7 linked regions of the Canis lupus familiaris genome follow. The protein of the gene in region 1 interacts with the protein of each later gene in a pairwise test. Links are inferred from orthologs where the notes say so. Each region holds a gene or a part of one and is shown on either strand. Other genes may lie near its edges. The genes, in order: DMRTB1, NIF3L1, SLAIN1, EXOSC5, RBFOX2, VASP and RBPMS.

Region 1 (2,854 bases):
GGGAGAACAGAGAGCATTTCTCAGCGATCATCTTGCCGCTTGTCCTGGGGATTCTGGGACACCCCTGCCTACAAGCCAGGTGGCATGCAGACTGGCCTGTTTGAGTGCCAGTCTGCCCCTGGACAGAGGACAGGACACAGTGTCTCACCCAGAATCCTTCACTCCAGGTCCCTTACTCTTTCTGCACCCACCCCCCAGGAATGCCTACTTTCACCTTTAAGATAGAGTTGAGATCCCAACTTCTGACCACCCCCACAGCTGAGTGAGGGAAACTAAAAGAAATCTTTACATCTTGTGTGTCTGCAATGTCCTCAAAAGGTCTCCACTGCTTAAGAAAAATGGTGGGAATATCAACGACAGACAGAAATCTAGTAGCCTGGCCCAACCCTCTCCCTTGGCAACAGGGAAAGGGGAGGTAAGCCAGGAAGGGACTTGCCAGGCCCAGACGCTCTCCCCAAAACCACCTTCCACAAGACTTAAAGAAAATGAAACTTGCACGATGATTTCCACTGCTTATTTTATTTCAACAGTCAACTGTCCCCAGAGAAGAAATGGATACATAGATGATTTAGAAGCACCATTCTCTTCTGAGAACTGCATCAGTGCTTACAAACAGCCTACTTTTTAAAGTTGGCAATCACTATAAAAATATCAAATAGTCAAACTTTAATAGATTTTTTTTAACCAGAAAAGATGCCTATAGTGGCTTAAACTTTATGGAGAGGAGAGGAGGCAGCCCCAGCAGTCAGAATGCTTGGTGCAGCCCCTTGGAGAAGGGGCGAGAGGCAGTGGCCAGGCAGCCCTCACAAGAGATAGAGCAGCAGGGAAGGACGCTGTAGAACCTGCTGTCAGCACCTGGTCCCAGCTGCCCACACAAACCACCTGGATGTGCTTGGGGCTCAGTGTTTGTGCTGCCCCCAGCTGGGACCAAGCAGAGGCGGAAGCAGAAGGCTGAAATAGATGGTGCCTCCTGTCCTGGAGCGGGCCCGAGGAAATCAAAGACCACTTCTGGGAGTGAGTCTAACAGCAGCACAACCCAGACTCAGTTAAATTCATTCCTAAATGTGAGCTTCCACCAGCCCCCCAATCCTCAAAGCCCTGGCCCTCCCCTGCTAACCATCCTCCATGTTCCTGGTCAATCCCACGTCTCTGGATAGAGAGAACCTTAGAAATCACCTTCCTCCCTCCTGTCTTGAAATGGAAATTAAACTGCCATTTTATGTCTACTACTACCCTTCCTCCCTACACATCCCCAAACCCGTTAAGAACATCATTGCTGCAACACCCGCAACCCCCACCCCGCTGGCCCAAGCATGCCAGGGCCTAGTTGGACTGCTCCTTGGAAGGCAGCTGGCTGGGCTCACCCGGCAGCACCTCCGCCTCTGCCTCAGGCGCCTCTGCCTCCACCTCAGGGGCCCCCGCCTCCGCTTCAGGGTCCTCCGCCTCAGGGGCCCCCGCCTCCGCCTCAGGCACCCCGGGCTCCTCTGGTACCCCTGCATCCTGGCCATCTGTGAAGGACAAAGAGGGGCTGGATTTACAAACAGGGGAATTACCTACTTTCAGATGCAAACTTTTGGTCAGGCATTCTCAGGGTTCCCAGCCTCTGCGGAGAATGCCTTTGCCCTCCATGGGCCAGGTGTCCGGACCCTGGCAGCCTAGCCCCAGCCCAACACAGACTCCAGCTCACACTCTGGCTCTGCCTGTCGCCAGCTGGGTGGCCAGGAGCAAGCTACCCCGAGGCTCTGAACTTCTGCACGCTTCTGGGGAATGAGATCTGCCCTCCCAACGTCAGGTCAGCAGGGGATGACAGGAAACAGGGAGAATGAACACAAATGCCGTCCTGGGGTGCAGGTTCAGATGGGTCCTCAGAATCACCTCCTGAGGTGGGGCCGTTAAGCCCACTTCTGCAGAAGGTGAGGGAGGGGGGAGGCTCCAAGGACTGAATGACCTTGCCGCGGGTCACAAAGCTACTGTCTGGCTCTGGGGCCAGCATGCTTCAAGCCACACACCATCTCTGCCTATCTAGGCATCTCAAACACAGCACGTGTGTACAGAAGGCCTCACTTCCTTTTCCTAGGGAGCCTCAGGGAAGGACTGAAAGGGGAAAAAAAAATCCTAGAACCTTTAAAGCTGCAAGAACCCTCGTAAGAAAACCTAAAGCACTTTTACCTCTAATATTGACTACCACAATAACCCTGTTAACAGGACCCATTTTACAGATGAGGAGACAGGCCTCGAGTGAGTGGGAGGGCCTGAGGTCACCCAGTGCGCCAGTGGCAGAGCAATGAAGGACAGGGTCCCTGGCTCCTGGCCGGTTTCTCTCCACGAGGACTTATCCCTAGCAACCCCCACCCAGTTCCAGCTGCTGCCCCAGCCTCAGCATCTGCTGCTTCCCTCTCTAGAATAGCCCCAGCTGAGCCAGAGCAGCCTGGCACAGCTGGTCTCCTGAACACACCACAGGAATGCCATCCTTCACATCTCTGCCCACAGGCCCTGATAAGGGGTGGGGGTGGGGGGGATTGGGAATTAGCATGAGCTCCGGAGCCAGACAGAATTCTGTGGAGATCCAAGCGCTGCCATCTTCCATTTACATATGTGAGAACCTCTCAGGGTTCCATTGGTTTTCTCACCTGAGACTGGGGAGCCCCTCTTGGATGCTTGCATATGGAATAAAAAGAGGGATATAACTGAAGAGCTCATCCCCAGACCCAATGCATTTTAAATTCTGCTCTCCACCTCTACTTTGTGATTAGGCCCCCTTCCTCCAGGAAGTCCTCCTGGCTCCCCAGAAGCTGAAAGCCTGGGGCCCTCTTACCAGTGGTTTCCTTGTCTGTATCAGACAGAATGGTGAGAG
Region 2 (4,068 bases), on another chromosome or scaffold:
TTTATTTATATTTTTTTCCACTGAAGAATTTAAAAGTAATTTTGCTTCGGGTTTTGTTTAGCCATCATACCAGTTTTATTTTCCTTGACTGAATTTCTAAAAATTATCTATAATGAAAGACAACAAGAATTGAATCAAACTTACCATTTTTCTTCTTGATGTGAGTTTCAGGAAGTACTATTGTTCAATTTCTCAGTCTCACCAAGAGAAGTTAGAAAACGTGTCTCTATTCCCAAAAGAGAAAATTAAGTTCGTTTTCCTCTCTTAACTCACACATGCTCATTTCTACCCCATATTTAAAAGAAAAAGTCTGGAACAGCACCCCCCAAGTAATAAAAGTCTAGTGATGGAAATGATGAGAACCTATCGATCTCCTACTTCCCCTGTTCACTTCTTCTTCACTCCCTGCAAGTCCTCCAAGTCGCGTACATTTCCGCCTTGGGGTCCAGGCGCTGGGTGCTCTCTTTGTCTGGAGCCCTTACACCCAGACGTCTGGCCGCTTATTTTCCTCGAGTCCAAGTCTCTGCTCAGAAGTCAGTTCCTATTGGCCTTATAACTCTCCTTAAAACTGCCTTCAGGGAGCCCTGGGTGGCGCAGAGGTTTGGCGCCTGCCTTTGGCCCAGGGCGCGATCCTGGAGACCCGGGATCGAATCCCACGTCGGGCTCCCTGCATGGAGCCTGCTTCTCCCTCTGCCTGTGTCTCTGCTTCTCTCTCTGTGTGTGACTATCATAAAAAAAAAAAAAAAAAAAAAATTGCCTTCACTTTAGTACCTGCCCGATTATCTTTTCCCATAGCACTGACCAATAATACGCTATATATTTTTCTAAAGAAGTCTGTTCCAATACTACCCTCCCGTCCAGAATGCTCACTGGATGGAACAGCCCAAGCACCAGAACAGAGCCTAGCAAGGGTCTCTCTCAGTAAGTGAATGAGAGAATGGGGGATGTGACGGACCACTTCCGTTAGCACACCTGTTGTGGCAACCGAGACGATGCCCTTGCATTTACCCACGTTTCGAAATTAGGGTCTTCGGGCTACCGCAGGCCGAGCGCGGGGCCCGTTAGAACGCTCCTCACCTGCTCGCCTTTTACCTCCCGCTCCCTATTTCAAACCAAAGTGACTAGAACTTACGAAGGCAATGGAATTTACCCTCACCTGGTACGCTTTTGACAGGGAGAGGGGGCTCGCTTCATAACCCTACAAGCACGCGAAACGCAAAGCGGAACTAAGGCGGGCAACACCGGCGAGCGGCTTGAGGTCACTTCCGCCCGGCTCCTCCTCAGCCCGTCCGGCCACGCCTGGAGGCCCTGCGCAGGACCGGAAGTGGCGAGTGCGGGCCTCGCGTGGCGCCCCGCCGTCATTGCGCGCTGTGGAGGTTGTGAGGGCGTTTCTGGGAAAGGAGGCAGAGGGGGGAGACGCGGGCCGGAAAGTGGCGTGTGGCTGGGGAGCCTAGGGCCCCCGGCGGGGAGGGCAGGAGTGCTGACTGGGAGCTTCCGGCGCGTCTGGCGTCTGCCTTGCCCTGGAAGCGGCCTGAAGTGGGACGGAAGTGAGAGCCGGCGCAGTGCAACAGGGTGCCGCTGGCTGGCTGTAGGGCGGGGGCGTGCCACGCTAGGCCTCGTTCCCCGCCGTCCCGCGAAACCTCGCGAGCACAACGTAAGCGGGGCCCTCTTCTCATTCTTGAGAGGGCGAAGCGACAGGGGTCGGGTACCTGGTTACACAGCCGCGGCCCTGCGAGTCGGGCTGGCTGCCGAGTGGGCGCCCCCCCACCCGCCGGCAAAGCCGCCCCCCGTTGTTCATGGCGTCAAGCCACGCCGCTTCGCTGCTTCCTGATCCGTGAAGTGGGAGGGTGGTGGTATTTTCAAGGGTTCTTTCAAATTTAGCCGTTGGCCCCCGCGGCCTCAGTTGCCCGCCCGCCAGCCTGGGTGAGTGCAGAGCGCAGCGTCGGTGCTTGGAATCCGGAGAGGAGAGTGGTATGAGGACCTGAGCTCTCACGCGACCCCAGGCCCCAGTGGGTTTCGGAGGCCCCACGTCCCTTCAGAGCAGACACTGAATAAGTGCGCACACCTCATAGTAAACATTTTTTTTGCTGAAAACATACTTTTTTTTTTCAACGAATTTGAGCATATTTATTGAAAAAGTTTTTTGAAATTAGGTTATTAATATTTGATTAGATTTTCGGTTGGCTGTGCTATACCTTGTCAGTTATTATGCATATTTTTTTTAATTTTTATTTATTTATGATAGTCACAGAGAGAGAGAGGAGGCAGAGACACAGGCAGAGGGAGAAGCAGGCTCCATGCACCGGGAGCCCGATGTGGGATTCGATCCCGGGTCTCCAGGATCGCGCCCTGGGCCAAAGGCAGGTGCCAAACCGCTGCGCCACCCAGGGATCCCAGTTATTATGCATATTATGAATGCTTTTCTTCAAAAATATAAATATTCCTGGATTTTTAATTTTCTCTTTATTTGTAGGACAGTGGGTGAATTCCTTTTTTTTTTCTTTTTTTTTTTTTTAAGATTTTTATTTATTTATTCATGAGAGATAGGCAGAGAGAGAAGCAGGCTCCATGCGGGAGCCGGTCGTGGGACTTGATCCTGGGTCTCCAGTATCACACCCTGGACCGAAGGCAGGCGCCAAACCGCTGAGCCACCCGGGCGTCCCTGTACCTGGATTCTTTTTTTTTTTTTTAAGACTTTATGAGAGACACAGAGAGAGAGGCAGAGACGCAGGCAGAGGGAGAAGCAGGCTCCATGCGGGGGCCCCGACGTGGGACTTGATCCCGGGTCTCCAGGATCACGCCCTGAGCCAAAGGCAGATGCTCAACCGCTGAGCCACCCAGGCATCCCCTGTACATGGATTCTTAACTGGAGTTGACTCTTAGTTTAGTATAGGGCCTAGACACTGGAAATGTTTGTCAAGAAAAGCTTTATTTAGGACTTGGAAGGAAGGGTAATATTTAGAGAACTGGAGAAGGCAGGAGGATGATTAAAGCAAAGATGAGAAGAAAAGAACCAAGGTGTGTGTGGGGTGGAGAAAGTGGGGATGAACATTTGTGTATTATGTACCAAGCTCATGTTAGGTGACTTACACGTATTAATTCATTTGCTCCTGTGGTTAGCCTCTGATGTAGGCTGTAGCGTCTCCCGTTTTGTAAATGAAAACATAACCTCAGAGAGGGTAAATGACTGAGATACCACGTGCTGGTAGGTGGCCGACTCTGCATTTGAACCCAGGGGTATGTGACTACAGCTCTTTTGCTCCTGTGCTTTGCTCCCTCAAGGGTCCAGGCCTAAAGTATGTATCTGTACCATTTTCTGTGTTTTGGCTTCAGATACTCAGTGTTACCTGATTTCTGTATGTTGTCGTCTCGTGTACGCCTCATTCCCAGAACAGTCCGGCTTGTTCATTCCCTCATCTACAATTCTTGCCATTCCTCCATGGATTTAAAGGCGCTCCTTTGCTCCTTGAATGACTTTGCATCCCTCTCCCTTGCTGAGAGTTGGGACAATGTTGGCTTACTGGTGGAACCAAGCCCACCACACACTGTAAACACACTCTTCCTTACCAACGACTTGACTGAGGAAGTGATGGAGGAGGCGCTGCAAAAAAAGGCGGACCTCATTCTCTCCTACCATCCACCTATTTTTCGACCCTTAAAACACATAACCTGGAAAACCTGGAAGGAGCGCCTGGTGATCCGGGCTCTGGAAAACAGAGTTGGTATTTACTCTCCTCACACCGCCTATGATGCTGCACCCCAAGGAGTCAACAGCTGGTTGGCAAAAGGGCTTGGTGAGAAGCCTTTTATTTTTTCATGTTTAATATTTTCCCTACAAATGCTTTGAAATTTTAAAGTGTCTTGAATAGAATGTTAACTGCTTTATATGTGTGTACCATTATTTTATTTTTACCTATTTAAAAATAATGTGAAATCTGGCAGTTGTATTTGATAAGTTTTTATCCTTAATGAATAAGGAAAGCATAGGAAATCGTCATTGCTGTGAGTCCTCACTCATGGAACAACGTGCCTAGCACCCAGAAATTTGAGAAGTGCTTGTTAAATTGA
Region 3 (4,105 bases), on another chromosome or scaffold:
TCACAGAGATTGGTATGTAAAGTGCCCGAGCAGGAATTCTCACCAGATAGCATATCATCTGAGGATGAGAACCAGTTGTGCGGACTTTTCTCATAATAAAATCGCAGACTTCTCTCCGAGTGTGTCAAACACTCACAGTTCAAAGTCAATATTAATGGAATGAAACTGGATTCAATTCTTCTACCTAAAAGCCTCCCCCTGCCCCCCAGAGCAGATTTGCCAGTAGTTTCCAAAAGATGTAAGAAGCGCAGCTTGCAGGTGAGGTCAGGGATACTGGGATAGAGGTTTTGTTTTCCTCGGTTCCCTTCCACCCCCGTAAGTCAGTCTGACCTAATAGCTTGTAAATTATTAAAGAGATGGAGCACTATGCAATTTTACTCATGTTTCGCCTGTAATGATTTTTGCTTGTCCTGTTCACTGCGTGATGGTCAACTCTTAGAATCGGGTCTGGAGCAGTGAAGTGCTCCAAGGCCTTTTGTGTGATACGCGGTACGGAAAATGCTCTTGCTTTATCACGACCGGCACTGGTGGTAAAGGAATCATTTGAGTTCCTCCGCTTTAGGGTACACTGAGCACCACTGGGCTCTTCAGCAGCTGGCCTGTCTTAGAGGGACGTCTTCTTTCTCCCCGGCCTCCTGTCCCCCACCATTTTGCTTCTGTATTGCCAATTAGTGGATTAGTAGCACTGCCTCAAAGTCTTTCTGCTCCACGTTTTCACTTTTCAGCCCCGGGGTAACGTCCTCGGCCCTCGGGTTCTCCGCGGGCTTCGTGAGCCCGGGGCCAGTGGCTACGGCGGTTGGGCCGCAGCACGGCGCGGGCGCGGGGTGCGCGCCTCCAGGGCAGGCGCCTGCAGCGGGCTTCGGGGAACCCGGGCTCGCGGACCGCGCCGCGGGCGCTCGGCACAGCTGCGGCAGCGCCTCGGGCGGGAAAGCGCGGGCCGGGCCCCGCCAGGGCACCTGGGGGCAGGGCGGCAGGGGGCTCGCCTCCTCGCGCCGCAGGTCCCCGCCGGCCCCGCCCACCCGGCGTTCGCGCCCCGCCCCGCCCCGCCCCGCCCCGGGGCCGCGGCTAAAACCCGGAGCCGCCGCGCCGCCCGGGGGACCGGAGGGCGCTCTGAGCATGTGCAGAGCCGTTCGGCGGCGGCTGCCTCGGCCGGAGGCTGGGCCCCGGTGCTGATGCGAGCAGCCGGCTCGGCTCCTGCCCCAGCGTGGTCGGCGCCTCGGGCCGGGGCGGCAGGGAAGGAGCCGTAGCCTCCCCGCGGCCCGAGGAGCGGCGCGGCGGCGCGTCCCCCCCCCCCCCGCCCCCCACCGCCCGCGGCCGCGGCGCCCCCGGGGCCCACGATGATGGCGGAGCAGGTGAAATGCGCCTCGACAGGGGGCGGCTCCGGAGCGGGCTCCGGGCCGGTGGTGAACGCAGAGCTGGAGGTGAAGAAGCTGCAGGAGCTGGTGCGCAAGCTGGAGAAGCAGAACGAGCAGCTGCGGAGCCGGGCGGCGAGCGCGGCCGCCGCCCCGCACCTGCTGCTGCTGCCGCCGCCGCCGCCGCCCGCCGCGCCGCCCCCCGCCGGGGCCTGCAGCCCGTTGGGTCCCCGGAGCCCCCCGGCCGCCGCCGCCGCCGCCTCGGGGGGCCTGGGGCTCGGGCTGGCGCTGGGCGCCGGGGGCGGCTGCGGCGGCGGCGGCGGCTCCAGCCCCGCGTTCCCGGGCACCTTCTGCCTGCCCAGCCCGGCACCCTCCCTGCTCTGCAGCCTGGCACAGCCCCCCGAGGCGCCCTTCGTCTACTTCAAGCCGGCGGCGGGCTTCTTCGGCGCGGGCGGCGGCGGGCCGGAGCCGGGGGGCGCGGGGACGCCGCCGGGGGGAGCCCCCGCGCCGCCCTCGCCGCCCCCGACGCTGCTGGACGAGGTGGAGCCGCTGGACCTGGAGAGCGTGGCCGCCTGGCGGGACGAGGACGACTGCACCTGGTATTGCCGAGCTCCGCTCCCTCCCCCGGGGGCCCGGCCTCGGAGGCCCGGGGAGCGGGGTGGGCGTGGGCCGGGGCAGCGGGGGGGGGGGGGGGGCTCGCGGTCGCCCCCGGACGCGGTGGCCTGGCAGGTGCCCAGGTCCGCGAGGAGCCGGGGCCTTTCCCGAGGGCGAAACGTGTTTCTCGCAGCTCAGGCTGGCGCCGCCGGGGATGGGCCGGTCCCCTCCGTCTCCGCGGGCCCGCGCCCTGCTGCAGCGGCCCCCGGCGCCGTGGAGCAGTCACCGAAGAACCCGTGCCTTCTTTTTGTTACTCGGTCCAGCTTCCCGCCCGCCCCATCATCTGGGGGGAGGCACGGGGGATGGGGAGGGGTTGGCCTCCGTCTGCGAGGCCAACCTGGTCTTTCCTCCCCGGCGGACCTGGGCAGGGTCTGTGCGGCGGGGGGGTGCCCTCCCGTGGCTTCCCCCGCCGCTTCCCCAGCCGCCGCCTCGGAGATTCGTTCTTGCGGTTTGAGCTGTGCGGTCGCACGTCCTCGTCCGCTGCATTTTCCTTGATCGCCTCTCATTTCAAAGCCTGACTAGCTGTTTTGAGATGTGCTGCCCTCACTGGCTTTCCTGTCACTAATGGTGTCAAAGATGGGGGCAGCTTGAAGACACTTTACTTCGAAACCAAGGATCTTTCTTTAATTCTTTTTTTTTTAAATCGAACTGTTGATTGAAGAAAAGGGAGATTAGAGAAACTTTATTATAATTATAATCATTATTTTTTTAGAAACTAAGTTATCTAAAAACCTGTGGCTGGCAGCAGCATTTCACTGGAAATCTGGTTAGCTCTTCTCTCCATCAATGAGTGACTTTGAAGGGGAGGGTCCGGTTACCTTAGTGTTTTTACGCTACGTTCTCATGGAGTGAGTTCCTTTCGTGACCTACTTCTTTTGGTTGCTTCATTTGCTTTCCTCCATCTCCTAGGGGTAGTGGGACAGGGGAAGATGAGTAGAAGCCTCAGAAAGTGGAACTTTGATTCCCGCAGGGAAAATGCACAGCATTCACCTTTAAGTAGCTGTGGCAGGAAGAAGAGTTGGAGCCCTTCTTTTATCTCGGGTTCTTCCTGCTCCTGGAGGCTGGATTTCCCTCACTTTCTCTGTGGTCCTGTTGCATGATCTCACACGGAGGAATGGGAAATGGAGACTCTTACTGGTTTTCTGTTGAGACCTGTGGTGTTCCTATATACTTAGAGCTCCTGACTGCAAAGTACATTAATTGGTTTGAACTGCAGAATCCAAACGTATCTGGAGCATCTCCTCCTCCTCAGTACTCTCCCTGTTGGCAGGCAGCTGTGCTGGTAGCTCAAGTTGTAAAAACCAAAACAACTCCCCACTTTTGGGAGCTTTATAAGCCGTACTTTAGATATTACACCTTTGTTTTTCTGTGAAGCCCAGGCTGTATTGTAAACTCAGTTTCAGCCTGAACATGGCACTAGAAAATGCTCTCATGTTGGTCGTTCTTAGGTTATAATAACTCTAAGCCCATATGTTGCTTTCAAATTACGTTACATTGATTTAGTTCCCACTTGGCCTTTTCTGGAAATATGTACTTAAATGGTAGAAGGAAACTTGTTTGTGTTTTTGATGGGCATCAATCCTGTACGTTAAAAGTGTTAGCATTTTTAAACGTATTATGATATGCTTATAATTTTGGAAGTGTATTCAAATGGGGTAGTATATACATAGCTAATATAATAGTATTTTCTTCCATTGAATGGACTTCTCCCTATTGTCCAACTACTGCTAGAATTTTGATATGTAGGCTTTTTTTTTTGTAGTTTGTTTTTTGTCAAAATAGTATTGAAATAACTTTGGGGAAAAAAAATGACCTGCTCTGTGGGATTACTTTGTTAGCACTTCAGATGGTTTGAAGTGAATGTAAAGTATAGCAGGTTCTACTAATTTCACTCATCAGCTATTTAGGGGAGTACATAAATCAATGCCTTGACGCTTTATAGATGTTTCTACAGACAAGTGGCACATTGTTTTATGGCCTATCTTTTTCATTTGTTTGTTTGTTTGTTTTAATTTTTTAAATTTATTTATGATAGTCACAGAGAGAGAGAGAGAGAGAGAGAGAGGCAGAGACATAGGCAGAGGGAGAAGCAGGCTCCA
Region 4 (3,500 bases), on another chromosome or scaffold:
CAGGTTTTGTAGGCAGTCAGGCCTGGGCTTGAGTTCTGCCCCTGCCGCCTTCCAGCTGTGTGACCCTGGGTAAGGGACTTCCCCTCTCGGGGCCTGTTTCCTCACCTCAAACATGGGAACATAGGAACTCCCATCTGCCCGGGGCCTCGGGCTCTGGGAGCACATGGCTTGGGCTCAAATCCTCGCTCTGCATTATTAGACAGAAGCTGACCTTCCTGTGCCTTAGTTTCCCCATTTGGGCCATGGGGGATTATAGTGGCACCGAACTGTCGTGCCGTGAGGATGAAGTGAGTTAACATGTATAAGGCACTCAGACCAGTGCCCGACGCGTGGTGAGCACTCAAGTGGGTTTGCTATTCTTCAATAAGAGGGTGCCTGTCAAGTGTTCGGAGGCCTCCTGGCTAACAGAGCAAGGGAGGCCACCACGGAGATTCTGGAGGACTTCCTGGAGGAGGCGGCCTGGGGGGAGAAGGATACAGAGCCAGCATCACTGACGACCTGCAGCACCACAGTGATGGAGGTGCGGGGGTGCAGCGTTCCCAATACCACTGCTTCACACGTGTTCCTGATCAGTCGCTCCCGGCTCTTCTCCGCGACGCCTGGGGAAAATCAGGGGTGGGGCAGGGCGGGGTGGGGTTGTCAGCCTCTTCCCTTCCTTCCATCTGGCTCACCTTCCTCCACACGCCCCACCCAAGCCCTCTGGAGAGGGCCTGCCATCTCCACCAGGGCTGGTGCAGGACCCTGCACGGATGACAGAGGACCCCCAGTGGGAAGGAGGCAGGGCCTGACCGGACCCACCCCGCCCCACCCCTGCCCCCTCCAGCATCCAGCAAGGGAGCCTCTTGGGGGAGGAAAACCCTGAGTTCCTCTGTCCCCTGCCGCTGCCCACTTCTCAGCTGGCTGCTGAACCCAGCCTCAGCGTAAGGGGGAGAGTAAACGGGTGGAAAAACAGGTTAGTGGAAAGAAGGGGAGATGGAGCCAGGAAAGAGGAGTAGGGAGGACAGACTAGGAGGTGGGGGACAGACAGGAGGCCAAGAGCCGGGGAAAGGCGCAAAGAGCTGAGGGTGGGGACGGCGGAGGGGAAGAAGGTGGAGCTCCTGCCGCCCATTACCAGGCAGCCCGATCTTCGGCCTCAGGATCACCTCCAGGGTGGCCTTGTTGAAGATCTCTTTGCTGACTTTCACCTCGGCTGGCCCGTACACGCCCGCCAGGACTGACGTGTCCCCTGGGGAGAGAGCAGGGCAGGTCTCATGCACACCTTGCCTTCCTGGGGCTGCAGGGGTCAGGGTGGGGGCACCAGGGCAGTGAGCTGGCGGCTGGCCTTCCCTGCGCCAGCCCCGGGTCTGGCCCACCTTTTGCTGGTAGTGGTTCTTTGAGCACTGGCTTCACTCACGTCTCTGCCTACGCTTCTTCATCTGGGACATGGGGATGATGGCAGCACCTAACCTTGTAGCGTCGTGAGGATTAAACGAGGTCATCCACGTCAAACACTGCAGCTATGGCCCAGCGCACCACTGACTTTAGCTATTCTTAACTTCAACGGGAAGTTCTTCCCGAGGGCTAACCTTCCTCCTCCTTACTGCAGTTGGTCTCAACTCCTCACAAAGCTTCCTCCAACCTAGCTCTCTTCCCTCGGGCTCACGTCCCCAAACTCTGCAGTCATCGGGACCCCCGAGAGTGAGAAATACCCAGGAGTGGTCCTGAGTGGGCACGAATGGGGTCCGCGGAGGTAAGACCTGAGAAGCAAAAGCCTGGCTTCAGGGAGTGCCTGGTGGCTCAGTCGGTTGAGCATCTGCCTTTGGCTCAGGTCATGATCCTGGGATCGAGCCCCAAGTGGGCTGATCTTCTCCTTCTCCTACTCCCCCTGCTTGTGCAAGCATGCACGCTCTCTCTTGCTGTCAAATAAATCTTCAAAAAATCCAAAACCAAACAAAGAAAGCCCCCAAAACCCCTGACTTCTGGTCCTGCCTGCTTCTTGCTAGCTCTGTAACCTTGGCTGATTGTACTCACTTCTCTTGGCCTCAGTTTTACCATCTGCAAAATGAAGAGACTGAACTACACCAGTGGCTGTTGAAGCTTTTCTTGCCATAACTCTCAATTAAAAAATGTATTTTCTGGCACCACCCCAAGTTCATGCAAATCTCCATGTGTGGACACGCAACAAAGGCCTCATAAAACGCCTCTTACCATCACTGCTCTGACACTCTAATGCTTTCTACTCTACTCTAGTTCATTTAATTTTATTTACTTTTTATTTATTTATTATTTATTAAAGATTTTATTTATTTATTCATGAGACACACAGGGGCGGGGGGAGGGGGGAGCAGAGACACAGGCAGAGGGAGAAGCAGGCTCCATGCAGGGAGCCCGATGTGGGACTCGATCCCAGGACTCCAGGGTCACACCCTGAGCTGAAAGCAGATGCTCAACTGCTGAGCCACCCAGGCGTCCCAACTTATTTACTTTTTTGATTTTATTTTTACATGGGGCTCAAACTCACAGCCCTGGGATCGAGAGTCGGACGCTCCTTGGACAGAGTCCGTCAAGCGCCCCTACTCTATTCCAGTTAAAAAGTACTGCCAACCGCAGCAGTGGTCCTGAACCCTGGCTGCACGCTCAGAATCACCGGGGCACTTGAAAAGACGTCCAGCCCCCTCCCCCAGAGATCCTAATTCAGCTGCCGGGTGGGGCATGGGCACTGGGAGCATAAGAGCTCCCACGGGTCATTCTGACGTGCAGCTGGGCCCACAGTCTGCAGTGGGAAAAACAGCGCTTGAGCACAGCTTCGAAACACTGCAAACAGAATCTCTGCAGCGGTTACAGATGGAGAGGGGCCAGCCTTAGCAGGTGTGCGGTGGATTCTGGGACCCTGCCTTTTTAACAACCCCATCAGAGATTTGGAGGCCAAAGGCGGGTGGGACGTACTTTCCAGGGTCTGCCAGGGGTCCCAGAGTTTGGGAGTTTTAGAACGTGGAAGGCGTTAACCCTCCTCAGTGTTTCTGAAGTCTAAGAAACTCCAGGCATATGATTTTAGCAGAAGAGCAAAGTCTCCAGGAGGGCCTGGGAAGGTCCCCAGGGTCAGGGCATGTTTCCTGGGTTGGGGAGAAGGAGCTGCACCAGAGCTGAGGGATTCTCTTGGCTCCAGGAGAATCTGCCCTCAGAGGGGAACTTAACCACACAGGACGAGATCCACACGTTGCTCTTCATTCTTTTCTGGATGAGCTGCCTGTGGCCCCCATGAACCTAGGAGATCCTCCCTCTCATCTTCTCAGGGACATGGCCCCAGCAATTTTCGGGAGCAATTCAAGGAATTCTATATTCTTTGGATCCACATCCATCTTCAACTCCTGCCCCATTTATCTGATCCTCTTCCAGCAAAGCTCTCAAAGACAAGTCTGACTTGCTGTCTTCTTCTCCTCCCTGACCCCACCACTCCACCAAACAGCTCTTGACAGCATCACAGATGACATAGGTCCGGACTGTCCACCGACAGGTCTGGA
Region 5 (3,500 bases), on another chromosome or scaffold:
AAAGAGGTCAAGAAGCTCTGAGGACTACTGCCGTAGTAAGAGACAAGACTTTTAATTTCTGCAGGCAGTTTAAATTGTTGATATTAATTCTTTAACTGGCCAATTATTAATCTTATTTTCACATGTTGTTATGTGCACTTAATAATTATTCTTCATAAGAGCAGTCTTTTGTGTTTGTATGTGGTGCTAACCTCCAAGGCATACAATAATCTTTAGATATTTCATTAGTCCATTTTATTCTTTTATCTAAAATGTTTTAATCCAGAAATGTTAGGGGAGAGGAAAACGACTTCTCCCTTGTAATCCTGTGGCCTTCAGAGAGGCAGAAAGTTTCTAAAGGTCTATTTTAAATGTGCTATCCTCTGGAAAGCACACAGAGACATTTATTCCATGTTCACTGAACTCTTTTTAATTATACCTTGCTAGAGCAAAATGGCTCAGGTCAGAATGACTTCAGAGGTATCAACAGAGGGAGAATAATCATTAATGCTGGAGGTGCTTCTAAATGATACTCTACTAAAAAGCCCAAAGCTGACCTGCAGAGAACATGCATATTATATTCCACAAGTATCTATTTCTTTGGTTTTAAAATCAAGTGCAGACTAAAATGTTCTACACATGTCCTCAATCCCCTTGACCTTTTCCAACTATTTATGCTTCGTGGCAATCTCAGTATCTGGTCAGAAAGATTCTTACACAGGTTAAGCAGGATGGGACACTGTGACAGCATTTAACTCTCTTGAGAAGGCCTCCTCCTCAGTTATATATTATACTTGGGGAAGAAGAAAAAGACTAGGACACATCACTGTTTACTCACAACAGTCAAAATCCATGCCAGGCCAACATAGGCTACTTACTGATTAAAGGAATGTAAGTGTTAATACCCCCTCTTCCTGATAGGGGCACTGCTGCATCATTGCCTAGGGACACGTCTGCTTGAAAGCTGGATGCTGATTGCATTTAAAAAAATTAAAAAAAATGCAAAAAGATTACAAAGGAATAGTAGATCGAAAACCAACAGATGTTGTCATGGTCAATAGGCCAAATGGAAAAATTAATGAAATACTACCTGCATATAACTCAGGGCCATATACAGCTCCAACTACGGGGCTTAATTTCCAACCTGCAATGGAAGAGAGGACAGAGAGCATTTAAGACTCCATGAGGAAAAGGTGTGATGAGGGCATGTGAAAGCTGGCTCCAGACATCCCTGCATTTAAGCTCCACCCAACACTATCTTCTCTGTAGACGCCAGCTGATGGGTCACTTCCACACCTGAGCATCTTTAAGCAGAACAAGCACAGTGAAGGGATAATAAGGGGGGGTGGGTGTTGCAGGTATAGGGGCAAATGGGGAGGAGAAAAACTGGGTGGGAGGAAAGAGAAGGACAAAGAAATGTAAGAAATAAAAGTAAATCCTGGGCTCTGGTTTCGTCTCTTTCATAGAACTGCTTAGAACATATTCTTTGAAAAAAAAATTCTTTGTTTTTAGAAAAATGAGAAAGGCAGAATATATGTCATTGTACACCACACTGTGATGCACTTTCTTATTCATCATCTTCACACTGTTTACTACTCTCACTGCTTTATAAAGGTATATTCTGAATTTAAATTTGAGCTGATCTTTGACTCTGTTCAATTATACCATACTGATGGAAATCTAGGTAAGTGAAAATCCCCTTTCTTTGGGATTTACCAATGGAATTTCGGTGCAGTTATCCTCAGCCAAGTGAACAAGAAGAGACACTCAGTAATAAAATTCAAGGTACATCCCCAATTTCATGCATTTTTTGGGATTTTAAGTGGTAATAAACATACTTAATTAGTTGTTTTAGCTAAAGGATACTAGACTGCTGTTGAGTACCAACCTAAGCATTTATAAACTTTAAGTACTTGCAAACATTAGGTTTGGTGTCAACTTTATTTCTTCATCCCCCTTTTTCATATTTATAGAAATATAGCAGACGTTAAAAAGAGAAAAATGTACTACTGCCCATTGATAGTTAAGGAGTAGAATTTCTTTTTTTTTTTTAAAGATTTTATTTATTTATTCATGAAAGACACATAGAGAAAGGCAGAGACACAGGCAGAAGGAGAAGCAGGCTCCATGGAGGGAGCCTGACGCGGGACTTGATCCCAGCACTCGAGGATCATGCCCTGACCCAAAGGCAGGCGCTAAACCGCTGAGCCACTCAGGGATCCCCAAGGAGTAGAATTTCATATGAAAACTTTAATCAATAGACTTTTATTGAATTTTACACAAATAAGCAAACATACTCCATTATTTTTCTTAAAGACTGGAGACAGTATTCAAGAGAAAACTCATTCATCCTGAACCAATCTAACCCCCGTTCATTATTTTATGTGCTCATAGATGGTGAACACATGATTTTACATAAAAATTGGGCAAATACCTCAGTTCAAATGTTACTGGAGTTGTAAGAACACAAATGTTCTACAATGTCAGACAAATCAAGTGATTCCAACCAATGTAAACTAAATCGCTGAGACTTCACTAGAAGGCATCTAGCGCACTCTTTTCAGAAGCTTTAAACCACAAGCAGCTGTTGGTCTCTCAAGTTTGGCTTGGTTAGGCTTGAGTATTAATTTAGAATAATATTTTAAAAAATGACTTTTTTCTTCCTGCAAATGGCACCATTACTTAAGCATTCCCTTAAGTATATTACATATTTTAATAATGGTATGTAATGGTATGCTGTCAATAATACTTTGAGTACGTTTAGTTTTTTTTTTGTATGTTTGGTTTTGTACAAATTTACAATGTATTTTGACCTTCACAAAACCCAAGGGGAGAGGTAAGATAGGTACCACATCTGGGACAATGAATAAGTACTATACTTCTTTGGGCTTAATTTCCTAAATAATAAGCTAAGAGAGGGCTGGATTTTGATGACTTCTATAGAGGCTTCAGGTGCTAAAATTCTGTGATCACCAATTAAGAGAGATGAAAACAGAATCAGGTTAAAAAGATTGGTCCACTGACAGAGTAAAATGAGTCAAATCTAGAAGTAGAATTTCTGTCTTCTCAATTCTAGTCAGTGACTCTTTCTACCACAGCATTCTCCCTGGATCTAAAGGAAATGTAACTTTGCCTCTCCTTCCTATTTTGTTTACATGAGTTATTATCAAAATTGCAGAAACTTGTTTTTGTTATGGGCATTGAAAAAAAAAAAACAAGAGGTAAAGGGGGAGGCAGTGGTATCACAAGATAGACCATTGATAAATGGGTAGGCAAAATGTAAATTATGCTGATAAATGCAAATTATGCTGATTTGTACCATCTGTTTGAGAAGCTGGGCTAAATCTATCTATTGGAGACATCATGGAATATACTAAGATTCTTACACTTGATTTTAGGACATTACCAGCAAATACAATACTTATCTAAGCAGTAGATTCAAACTTTTATTTTTTTTTTTTATTATTTTTTTTTTTTAAGATTTATTTATTTATGATAGACATAGAGAGATAGAGAGAGAG
Region 6 (4,003 bases), on another chromosome or scaffold:
ACACCAACTATAACCCTTCCAAAACTGCAAGTCTTTGAAGCAACCTTGTACAAAGAACCAGATCTATGGGCTTTGGGTTTGTGTGGGTTCACTCTAGCTGCTCCTTCCCTATAAGCCTCAGTTTCCCATAAATGAACAGAAAGGTAAAAGATTCTTCTTGCTTATCTGCATTATCTTAAGTGTTCACATAGTGCAAACATGTTACTTGTTTTTTTTTTTTTTAATACCATTAAAACGTTTTATTTTCCTTTTTCTGTAATAGCATCGTAGTCTGGAGACTGCCCTAAATTCAAATCTAGAGCTGCCTACTTCCAAACTGACTTGAATAGGTTATTTGCTTAATTTTTCTGTGTCTCAGTTGACCCATGGAGGTGGGGCAGTCAGAATAATACAGTGCCTGGCACAGAGCACATGTTTGATCAGATGGTCTCTTATTATTATTTAAAAAACAACAACTTTGTAAGGTAATAATAATTACCATTCCTGGAAGAGGAAAGAAATGGACCTAAATACCGCTTGCAGCCCTCTGCCCTGAGATTCTCAGACCTCTGCCCCCTCTCTGAGCCTTCCCAGAATCCCAGCTGAGTCTCGCACACAGCAGACACTTAACAAATATTTGTCAAACTGGGAGAAAAAGAACTATATCTTGTAACTTTCCATTTTAACATCCTCTCTTCGCCCAGCCAAAGCAGACAGAAGTCAAGTCGCAGGATCCCAGTCCCCTCCCCTCCCTCAACACTGCCTGAGGGATCTAGGGCGAGCCTCAGTTTCCCTGGCTGCCCTCATGCAGGGGCAGGGGTCTTTTGGAATCCTAGAGGTCCTGGAAGAGGGGGCGCAGCGAGTTGGGCGTGGCCATCAGCAGGGAAGACCCCCTGGGGAGGTGCGAGTGACCCTCCGGTGGGAGGCCCAGCAGTTCAACCCCTGCCCACCGCCCCCCCACCCCCCAGGAGGTGGGAGCTTTGGCCGCGGCCAACAGTAGGGGGACCCTGTGGGAGGGCGAAGGCCTCCGGGCCTGGGGGAGGGGGGGCGGGAGGCCGGCCCAGACACTGCTCCTGCCCTTTTACGGTCTCACAGTGAGTGAGGCAGCACTAACTCGGACATCCGCCATCCGCCTTCCACGGTGCCTGGGACCGGAAACGCGAGGGGGGGCGGGGGGCGGGGCGGGGGGGCAGCCGTGGGAGAGGAGGGTCCCCTGGGAAGAGGGTGAGGGAAGAGAGCCTGGCTCCCCCCAAAATGCCCCCTCTCCGGGGCAGGCCTCGGAGGGATGTGGCTATAATGGGGGGTAGGTAGGCGGGAGACCTCGAGGGTGGGTGTCCGTGGGTGCCCCCTCACTCCAAAATGCTCCAACACTTTCACATCAGAAGGAACACAGGCGGAGGGGGTCTCTAATGGTCCTAAAGGGCAATGCGACTCTTGATGTCAGAGGGCAGGGGCGTGTGGGGGTAGTGGGAGGATGTGGGCACCAGGGGGTTAATCCCCAGTCCTCCTCGGGGGGCCTCCCCCTCAAGCTGGGGGCTTTGGGGGCAGGAAGTCCCTGAGAGAGTGGAGGAAGGGAGATAGTATTGTCAGGCTCGGGCCCCAAGGGAGAGATTATGGGGGGCCAGGGGGAGGGGAGAGTGGGGGAGGGTCTACTCCGGTCTCCCAGCCCGCCCCGGCCCCGCCCTCAGGTGAGCCCAGGAGTTCTGAGGTCCGACCCGGTAAGACAAAAATCCCTGGGTCCTCTGGGCCCCCCAACCCCAGGATTAAATTCCTGGGAAGGTGTCTGGGACTGTCTTGGGAGCCTGGGTCCCAGGGGGAGAGGGCTATGACCTTGAAGCTTTTTACAGCGCCCCCCCCCCCACCCCACGGCTCTGGAGGGCCGGGTAGGGGGGCGGTGGTGAGAGCAAGGGGCGGCGCGTGGTGGGGAAAGCAGCCGGCCCACTGCACTCCTTGCCCGCCCCCCCAACACCAGCTGTCTCGACAGGTGAGTCAGGAAGACAAAGGCCCCTCTTCCCGCAGCTGCCGCGCCCCCTCCCTCCCCAGGACGCACAGGTGGGGGCGCGGGGCCGCCCTCCTGGCCCCGGGCCGGGGAGCCGCCCTCCGCGCCGAGCCCTGGAGCTCCGTCCTAGGCACCGCTTGTTTTAAACAGAAGGTGGGTGGGGAGCGGCGGGGGAGGGGAGTCCCAACCAGACCCTCGAGGCTGTCCGGGTCCGTGGGTTCGTCTGCACTCACCTCCACCGGAGGACGAGAGCCCCCCGAAATTTAAGGGGTTAAGTGCCCCCGAAGTTAAGAAGCGAGGTCCCACTTGGGAAGGCTTTTTCCAGCGCCACGTAAAAGCAGACCCGGCAAACCAAGGTCTACGTCCCGAATCTCTCTTCCAGGTCCCAGGAACCCCCAACCCGGTCCCCTCAATCCCTCCCGGAGCCCGAGTTGAGATTTTTGGGGGGGTAGTCTGAGCCCTGCCTTAATTCTGGCCTCCATGCTGGCAGGATCTGGCAACTTGGAGGTTCTCTGAAAAAGTCTTTAAGAAATTCGGGAGTCCTCGGGGCGCCCCCAAATCTGAGGGCTTCCGAGAGAACCTCTGAGGCACCACCCGAGCCTTAGGAGTCATGGCGAAGCGGTCAGTATTTGGAACTCGTCCAAGGGGGCTCGGCCTCAAATCCGAGGCCCCCAGTGCCCTGTCCCCAAATTCCAGCTGGGGGAGGGGGACAAAGGCGGGGCGGGGAGCCCGCGCGGAGCGCGGAAGGGTTTGGAGGCAGTTCGAGGCTCACCTCATGGCTGCTCAGCGGGAGGGCGGCGCACCCACGGGTGGGTGCTCCCGGGGCGCCCCTGGCTCAAGGTTCAGGGGTTCGGGGCTGGCTCCAGGTTCTGCTCAGTCTCCCCCAGGGTCCCGCCCCATAGAGTCCGGCTTCCTGGGGGGGAACGTGGACGGGGCCGGGGCGGGTCCTCAGGCGCCTCCTCCCTCTGGAGGTTTGATCGGGGGTCCCTGCGGCAGAAAGGGGGTGCGGCGTCCCGTCCCCGGCGCGCCCCCTCGGCCGGCGGCGGGTACAATGTTACTCTTACTACTGTACTTCTCTTCGCTACATTTCGTTCCAAAATTCCACTCCCCGCACCCACAATGCCCTGCGCCTTAAAGGGGCCGCGGACACCTCTAGGCGGTGGGGGGGGTGAAGGGCGCTTAAAAGGGCAACGCGGAACCCTACACTTCCGCTATTTACCTCTTCCCCAACGTTAGAGAAATGGGGATGCACGCTGAGGGTCACCCCCAAATTAGGGGGTAGGTCTGGTGGAGGGCAAGGGATCCTTCCTGATCGCTCATTCGCTCCTACGATGGAAATTCTTAGGAGGATCTTAATGGGGACAATTCCTGCTCACCCTCCCCAACGACTTCTCCATTTCTTCACGTTCTGCTCAATTTGGGGGGTGGGCGCGAAGACGATCCTCTGGTTAAGCATAGATTCTCTCAAATTTTCCCCCTTAAATGATACCTTAAATGCTACCCCCAGCGTCTCTCTTCTCTGCTAATATATGAAAGGTGACTAAGGGATGAACCCCTTTCCCCAGCACAGGGGGGGGTGGGCGGGGAGGGCCCCATCCCTCTCGCCGCCCCCCGCCCGCCCCAGGAAGGTGAGGAGGAAGTGGGCCGAGGGGGCGCGGCCGGCCGCTGACTCACTGCCTGGGGGTGGGGGTGGGGGTGGGGGCGGGGGCAGGGGTGAGGGTGCGGCGCTGCCCCTGGGTGCGGATGGGACTCCAGGTTCCTGTGTGGTTAAAACCCCTGGAACCTCTCCCCACGCACCCCCGCCGTGACTCAGTTTCGCCCGCAGAGGATGGCGGGATCATCCAGCAATAGGAGGGCGCGGAGGCAGGGGCACCCACCCACCTGGTGCTGGCTCCTAGGAACCCCCTCCCCCACGCAGTAGCTTGGGTCTGAGGCCCAAACACCCTCCCAAGCTTCCGCAGCGGGTCCCGCAGGCCCCGCCCCATGTGACTCCACTGGTGGCCACTCCCCTCCCGCAGAGCGCCA
Region 7 (3,959 bases), on another chromosome or scaffold:
CTACCATGAATCTGCCTAGTGTCCTTGTGGTGGCTCCCTATGCTGAGACACTTCCACTTATTCAGTCCCTCCTGCAGGGGCTTTGTAAAGATGTGATGTCATTCAAGGCTGAAAATCAATCTCTGATAAGACTGTGTTCATTTATTCAAAAATATTCACCGAGAGCCTACTATGTGTTAGGCACTGTCTAGATATTGGGGACACAACGATCAAATCAGACAAAGATCTTCTTCTAGCCCTTATTTTTTTTTTTTTATGCCAGATGTCTTTGACTTTTAACAATGGACAAAGTGCTGGCAAAAGAATCAGGTTCTACATTTGGAATTAGGCCACATTTCCCTGGACGGAGGTAGCAGCAGCATCCTGGAATCATACAGCACCTTCCACCGACTTGTAAGTGGAGTCTGACTGGAATCATCAATGACTAGATCAACTGTCACTTTTCTTGGGCCTTTGCCAGGCTCCAGCAAGACAATATCTTTCTGTGGAGTGTATTCAGTACCTGGCAATGGCCCAGGAGGGCAAAGGGCCTGTGTTTATTGGTGGCGCAGGGGCCCAAGACCACCACGCAGCCATTGCTCAGGAACACATTGCCCCCTCGTGGTTCTTTACGTAATTGAGGGAGGGACTGGGATTGGAAAGGCTCTCCAAATTTCCAGATTAATCGTGGTGGCCTTTGCCTCTTCTGAACTTCCATTGCAAGTTCAACAGTTTCTTGGTTTATTTTCATCCAGGATACGCTTTCCCCCCACCCCCCCCACAGAGGCACATGACATCCTGACAGCAATTAAACCTATTTATCAAAAGCTTCAGACTTCCCCCACCCCCAACCCAAGAAAACCCCAGTAAGTGAATGCAAGAATTACCACTCTGTTTTTCTTCACAACGCTCGTCACACAAGTATTTTCTCTGCTTTCTGCTATTTGAACCAGGATCGCTGATCATGTGGCCATGGAGTTGTTTTGGGTGTCTCGTCTCCACAACACCAGTTAAAACTCCCTAGAAGCAGGAGCCTTATCTTCACCCCCACCTCCACCCCACCCCCAGCAGCACTTAAACCAGTACAGGGTGAAGAATGTCTGGCGGGGAGGGGGGAGAGCAGAGAAAGATAAACAGTGAAGCGAGCAAATAAATAGAAGTTGTGATTGGTACTGTGCTGGAAAGGAACAGCATGTCGTGTGAGAGAATTCCTGGGCGTGGGAAGTGAGGGAGAATCTTCTGATAGAGGCCCTTTTAAATTTATGTGTTTATGATACAGGAATGGAGAAGCTCTCTATGGCCCCGGGAAAATGGAAATTTCCTTAATAATAATGCTAGTTTCCCTGTTCTGTAAACTTACACCGGGCAGGAATGAGTGCTGGGTGCTCTAGCTCTACCAACCTATAATCTCCTCTAATTACAACCCCCCTGGGAGGTAACTATAACTACTCCCATTTCGCAGGTGAGGAAACGGAACCCAGGCAGTCCTCTGGCGCGTGGTGCTTAAACAGGTACTGGGTGCCCCCCTCCCAGAATGCTGAGCCCTTTTTCTTCCTTAAGGGGCTTTGACCCTCCGAAGATCATCTGGGTTGGCCTCCAGCTCGGCTCGCCGTGAGCAACAGTCACTTAGCCAACAAGTATTTATTGAGTGCCTACTGTATACCCGGTAGCGTATTTAACTAGCCGTGGGATTATCAAGGTAAACAAGGACACGGTGAGGCTGGCGTTGCGTTGTGGGGAGGCTCCCCCGGAAGGGTGAGGGAGGCAGGCAGGTAAGCAATTCCAGGACGGTCTGCTGAGGGCCGAGAGAGGGGCCTGAGCAGAGGGGGGCGCGAAGCCTAGCAGAGGGCGAAGGCCGGGGCTGAGAGCCTGGGAGGGCCCGGCGTGGGAGGTGGGTTTGAAGCTGCGCCCTGGAAACGCCGGCCCCGAGCCGGCTGCCCCCGGACCTCGCTCGTTCTCTCGCATCCTGTCATTTCGAGCTGCCAAGTAGGAAGGGAGGAAATAGGTCTGAGCCGGTGCTGCAGAGGCAGGGCAGGCTGAGCGACGGGGGCGCGATCCCCACGGCGGTAGCCCACGGCGCGTCCCGGGCGTCGCGCGGGCCCGGCCCGGCGCCCCGAAGCCCCTCTCCAAGCGGGCGCGCACCGCCGCGCGAGCTCGCCAGCTCCGGGGGCCCCCGGGGGCCGGGGAAGCGGGAGGACCTGGCCTCCCTCCCTCGTCCGCCTCGGCCCCTGCCCTCCGACCTCCCGCCGAGTCGGGGGGCTGGGGTCGGCCGCTTCCGCCCGCCGCCCCCCGCCCCTCCCCGGCGCGCGCCATCCGGCCGCGGGCGGCCCCTCCTCCCGAGGGGGGCTTCTGCGTCCCGCGTCCCGTCCCTCCGGGCTGAAGCTGGCAGCCCACGTCTAGGGAGGGCGGAGGGAGGAGGAGGAGGAGGGGGAGGGGGAGGAGAGAGGGGAGGGAGGAGGGCGAGAGAAAGGGAGCTGCTTGGATCCCGTACTTCTCAGAGCCTGCCTGGAGCGCGCACTCAGCGGCTCTCCGGGTCCCAGCGTCCCAGCCGCGCCCCGCACCTCCTCCTCCTCCTCCTCCTCCTCCTCCTCCTCTTCCTCGGGTCTGGGCACCCCTCGCCCCCTCCCTCCGGCCCCCGCCAGGCTCGGGCAGCGGCCGCCCCCAGCCCCGACGCGGCCACATCCCCAACTCTCTGGGCTCCCTCCTGGGACGCGCGCCCGCGCCCCATCCTTTCTTCCTTCCTTCCTTCCTTCCCTCGCGCCCGCCCGCCCGCCCGCGCTCTCCAGGTCTCCCTCCCGGTCCCGATTGTCTCCGTCCCCGCCGGCCCGCGCCTCGCCCTGCCCCGTGTCTCCCGCGCACTTCCTGGGTCGCCTCGCCTCGCCTCGCCGCGGAGCCCGAGCCGCCGCTGCCCCGGCTCCAGCCCCCGCAGCCCGCGGCGCCCGCCCGAGGGAGCCCCGGCGCCCGGGGAAGGGACAAGCGGGCGAGCGCGCCCTCGCCCCAGCCCCGCGCCCCAGCCCTGCCCGGCGAGGAAGGACCGGGAAGATGAACAACGGCGGCAAAGCCGAGAAGGAGAACACCCCGAGCGAGGCCAACCTTCAGGAGGAAGAGGTACCGGGGGGCTCGCTGCGGCGGGGGCACGACCTGGGCGCCGCAGTCCGGGGTCTGGGCACGGCCCTCGCCGCGACCTGTGGCCCCGGGCCGGGGGGGGGGCGGCGGGGGGGGTCTCTTCGCAGAGCGCGTTTCTAAAGTTGCGTAACTTTGAGGACTTTTCGGAGTTTGCTAAGTATAATGCTCAGCTTTGTCTGCGTGGGATTTTAAAAGCGGAATCGAGAGCTGACTCCCGGGTGACCTCCGGTTCCTGGGACCCAGAGGGTCGGGACCGAGTCTGCGACCGGGGCTGGGAGTGGGGGGTGTTTGTGCGTGCGGCGTGAGGAAGGAAGGAACTCGGGGAAAGTTCTCGGCGGGGAGACACCTTCAGTTCCCTGCCCCCTCCCCCTCCCTTTTCAGTGTTAAAAGTTCTCGGTGCGATCTCTTTCCAGCTGAGGCATTCTGGATTAATAGATAACTCATCAGCTGCATTCTTCTCTGATGAGTCAAAGACCTCGAATCTGGGTGATTAGGGTTTGTAAATTTTAGGGGCGATGCGGCTGGGGTGGGGTGGGGGAAGCCGAATAAAAGAGTTTGAGAGTTTACAACTCGCCAAGAGATCATCTTGGCTGTTTTAATAGCACTTTGACTCCTGAGCGTGAATTTTATGTGGTGCGTCCGTAACAAAGTTAAAAACGTTGCGGCGGCGGAGCGTTCCTTGGGGTAGAAACCCCATTTATCCGTGGGAGGGAACACCTGAACGGACGGTTTCAGAATTTTGTAGTTAGGATATTTGTGGTATTCTTTCAAGTGGCTTTGTTCCTGCAGGTATGTTACCTGGAGTCCAAGAAACAGTACATGTTTCGCCTGCTTTTTAAGTTCTCCCATAGCTG

The links.
Region 2: the proteins of DMRTB1 (region 1) and NIF3L1 interact in a two-hybrid assay, tested with the Homo sapiens proteins (2 studies listed by BioGRID and IntAct). The two-hybrid records come from large-scale screens. The link is inferred for Canis lupus familiaris from reciprocal best matches to the Homo sapiens genes DMRTB1 and NIF3L1.
Region 3: the proteins of DMRTB1 (region 1) and SLAIN1 interact in a two-hybrid assay, tested with the Homo sapiens proteins (2 studies listed by BioGRID). The link is inferred for Canis lupus familiaris from reciprocal best matches to the Homo sapiens genes DMRTB1 and SLAIN1.
Region 4: the proteins of DMRTB1 (region 1) and EXOSC5 interact in a two-hybrid assay, tested with the Homo sapiens proteins (2 studies listed by BioGRID). The link is inferred for Canis lupus familiaris from reciprocal best matches to the Homo sapiens genes DMRTB1 and EXOSC5.
Region 5: the proteins of DMRTB1 (region 1) and RBFOX2 interact in a two-hybrid assay, tested with the Homo sapiens proteins (3 studies listed by BioGRID). The link is inferred for Canis lupus familiaris from reciprocal best matches to the Homo sapiens genes DMRTB1 and RBFOX2.
Region 6: the proteins of DMRTB1 (region 1) and VASP interact in a two-hybrid assay, tested with the Homo sapiens proteins (2 studies listed by BioGRID and IntAct). The two-hybrid records come from large-scale screens. The link is inferred for Canis lupus familiaris from reciprocal best matches to the Homo sapiens genes DMRTB1 and VASP.
Region 7: the proteins of DMRTB1 (region 1) and RBPMS interact in a two-hybrid assay, tested with the Homo sapiens proteins (2 studies listed by BioGRID). The link is inferred for Canis lupus familiaris from reciprocal best matches to the Homo sapiens genes DMRTB1 and RBPMS.

The regions. Positions count from the first base shown.
Region 1 is NC_049226.1:55,949,047-55,951,900, forward strand, and holds the end of DMRTB1 (doublesex- and mab-3-related transcription factor B1), read right to left. Parts: coding exon 2,816-2,854; intron 1,509-2,815; coding exon 1,324-1,508; 3' UTR 501-1,323; downstream 1-500.
Region 2 is NC_049258.1:9,940,186-9,944,253, forward strand, and holds the start of NIF3L1 (NIF3-like protein 1), read left to right. Parts: upstream 1-1,268; 5' UTR 1,269-1,376; intron 1,377-1,382; exon of another isoform or gene 1,383-1,654; intron 1,655-1,673; exon of another isoform or gene 1,674-1,923; intron 1,924-2,036; exon of another isoform or gene 2,037-2,055; intron 2,056-2,746; exon of another isoform or gene 2,747-3,237; intron 3,238-3,333; 5' UTR 3,334-3,358; coding exon 3,359-3,794; intron 3,795-4,068. Other genes in the region: PPIL3 (peptidyl-prolyl cis-trans isomerase-like 3), read right to left, coding at 145-147. UniProt on the Homo sapiens protein: May function as a transcriptional corepressor through its interaction with COPS2, negatively regulating the expression of genes involved in neuronal differentiation.
Region 3 is NC_049243.1:31,288,749-31,292,853, forward strand, and holds the start of SLAIN1 (SLAIN motif-containing protein 1), read left to right. Parts: upstream 1-1,305; 5' UTR 1,306-1,337; coding exon 1,338-1,951; intron 1,952-4,105. UniProt on the Homo sapiens protein: Microtubule plus-end tracking protein that might be involved in the regulation of cytoplasmic microtubule dynamics, microtubule organization and microtubule elongation.
Region 4 is NC_049222.1:113,387,512-113,391,011, reverse strand, and holds part of EXOSC5 (exosome complex component RRP46), read right to left. Parts: intron 1,226-3,500; coding exon 1,112-1,225; intron 600-1,111; coding exon 478-599; intron 1-477. UniProt on the Homo sapiens protein: Non-catalytic component of the RNA exosome complex which has 3'->5' exoribonuclease activity and participates in a multitude of cellular RNA processing and degradation events.
Region 5 is NC_049231.1:29,472,120-29,475,619, reverse strand, and holds part of RBFOX2 (RNA binding protein fox-1 homolog 2), read right to left. Parts: intron 1,124-3,500; coding exon 1,070-1,123; intron 951-1,069; coding exon 858-950; intron 1-857. UniProt on the Homo sapiens protein: RNA-binding protein that regulates alternative splicing events by binding to 5'-UGCAUGU-3' elements. Prevents binding of U2AF2 to the 3'-splice site.
Region 6 is NC_049222.1:110,771,947-110,775,949, forward strand, and holds the start of VASP (vasodilator-stimulated phosphoprotein), read right to left. Parts: upstream 2,801-4,003; 5' UTR 2,756-2,800; coding exon 2,751-2,755; intron 1-2,750. UniProt on the Homo sapiens protein: Ena/VASP proteins are actin-associated proteins involved in a range of processes dependent on cytoskeleton remodeling and cell polarity such as axon guidance, lamellipodial and filopodial dynamics, platelet activation and cell migration.
Region 7 is NC_049237.1:34,777,312-34,781,270, reverse strand, and holds the start of RBPMS (RNA-binding protein with multiple splicing), read left to right. Parts: upstream 1-1,159; 5' UTR 1,160-1,441; intron 1,442-1,539; 5' UTR 1,540-1,678; intron 1,679-2,765; 5' UTR 2,766-3,021; coding exon 3,022-3,087; intron 3,088-3,552; exon of another isoform or gene 3,553-3,567; coding exon of another isoform or gene 3,568-3,591; intron 3,592-3,959.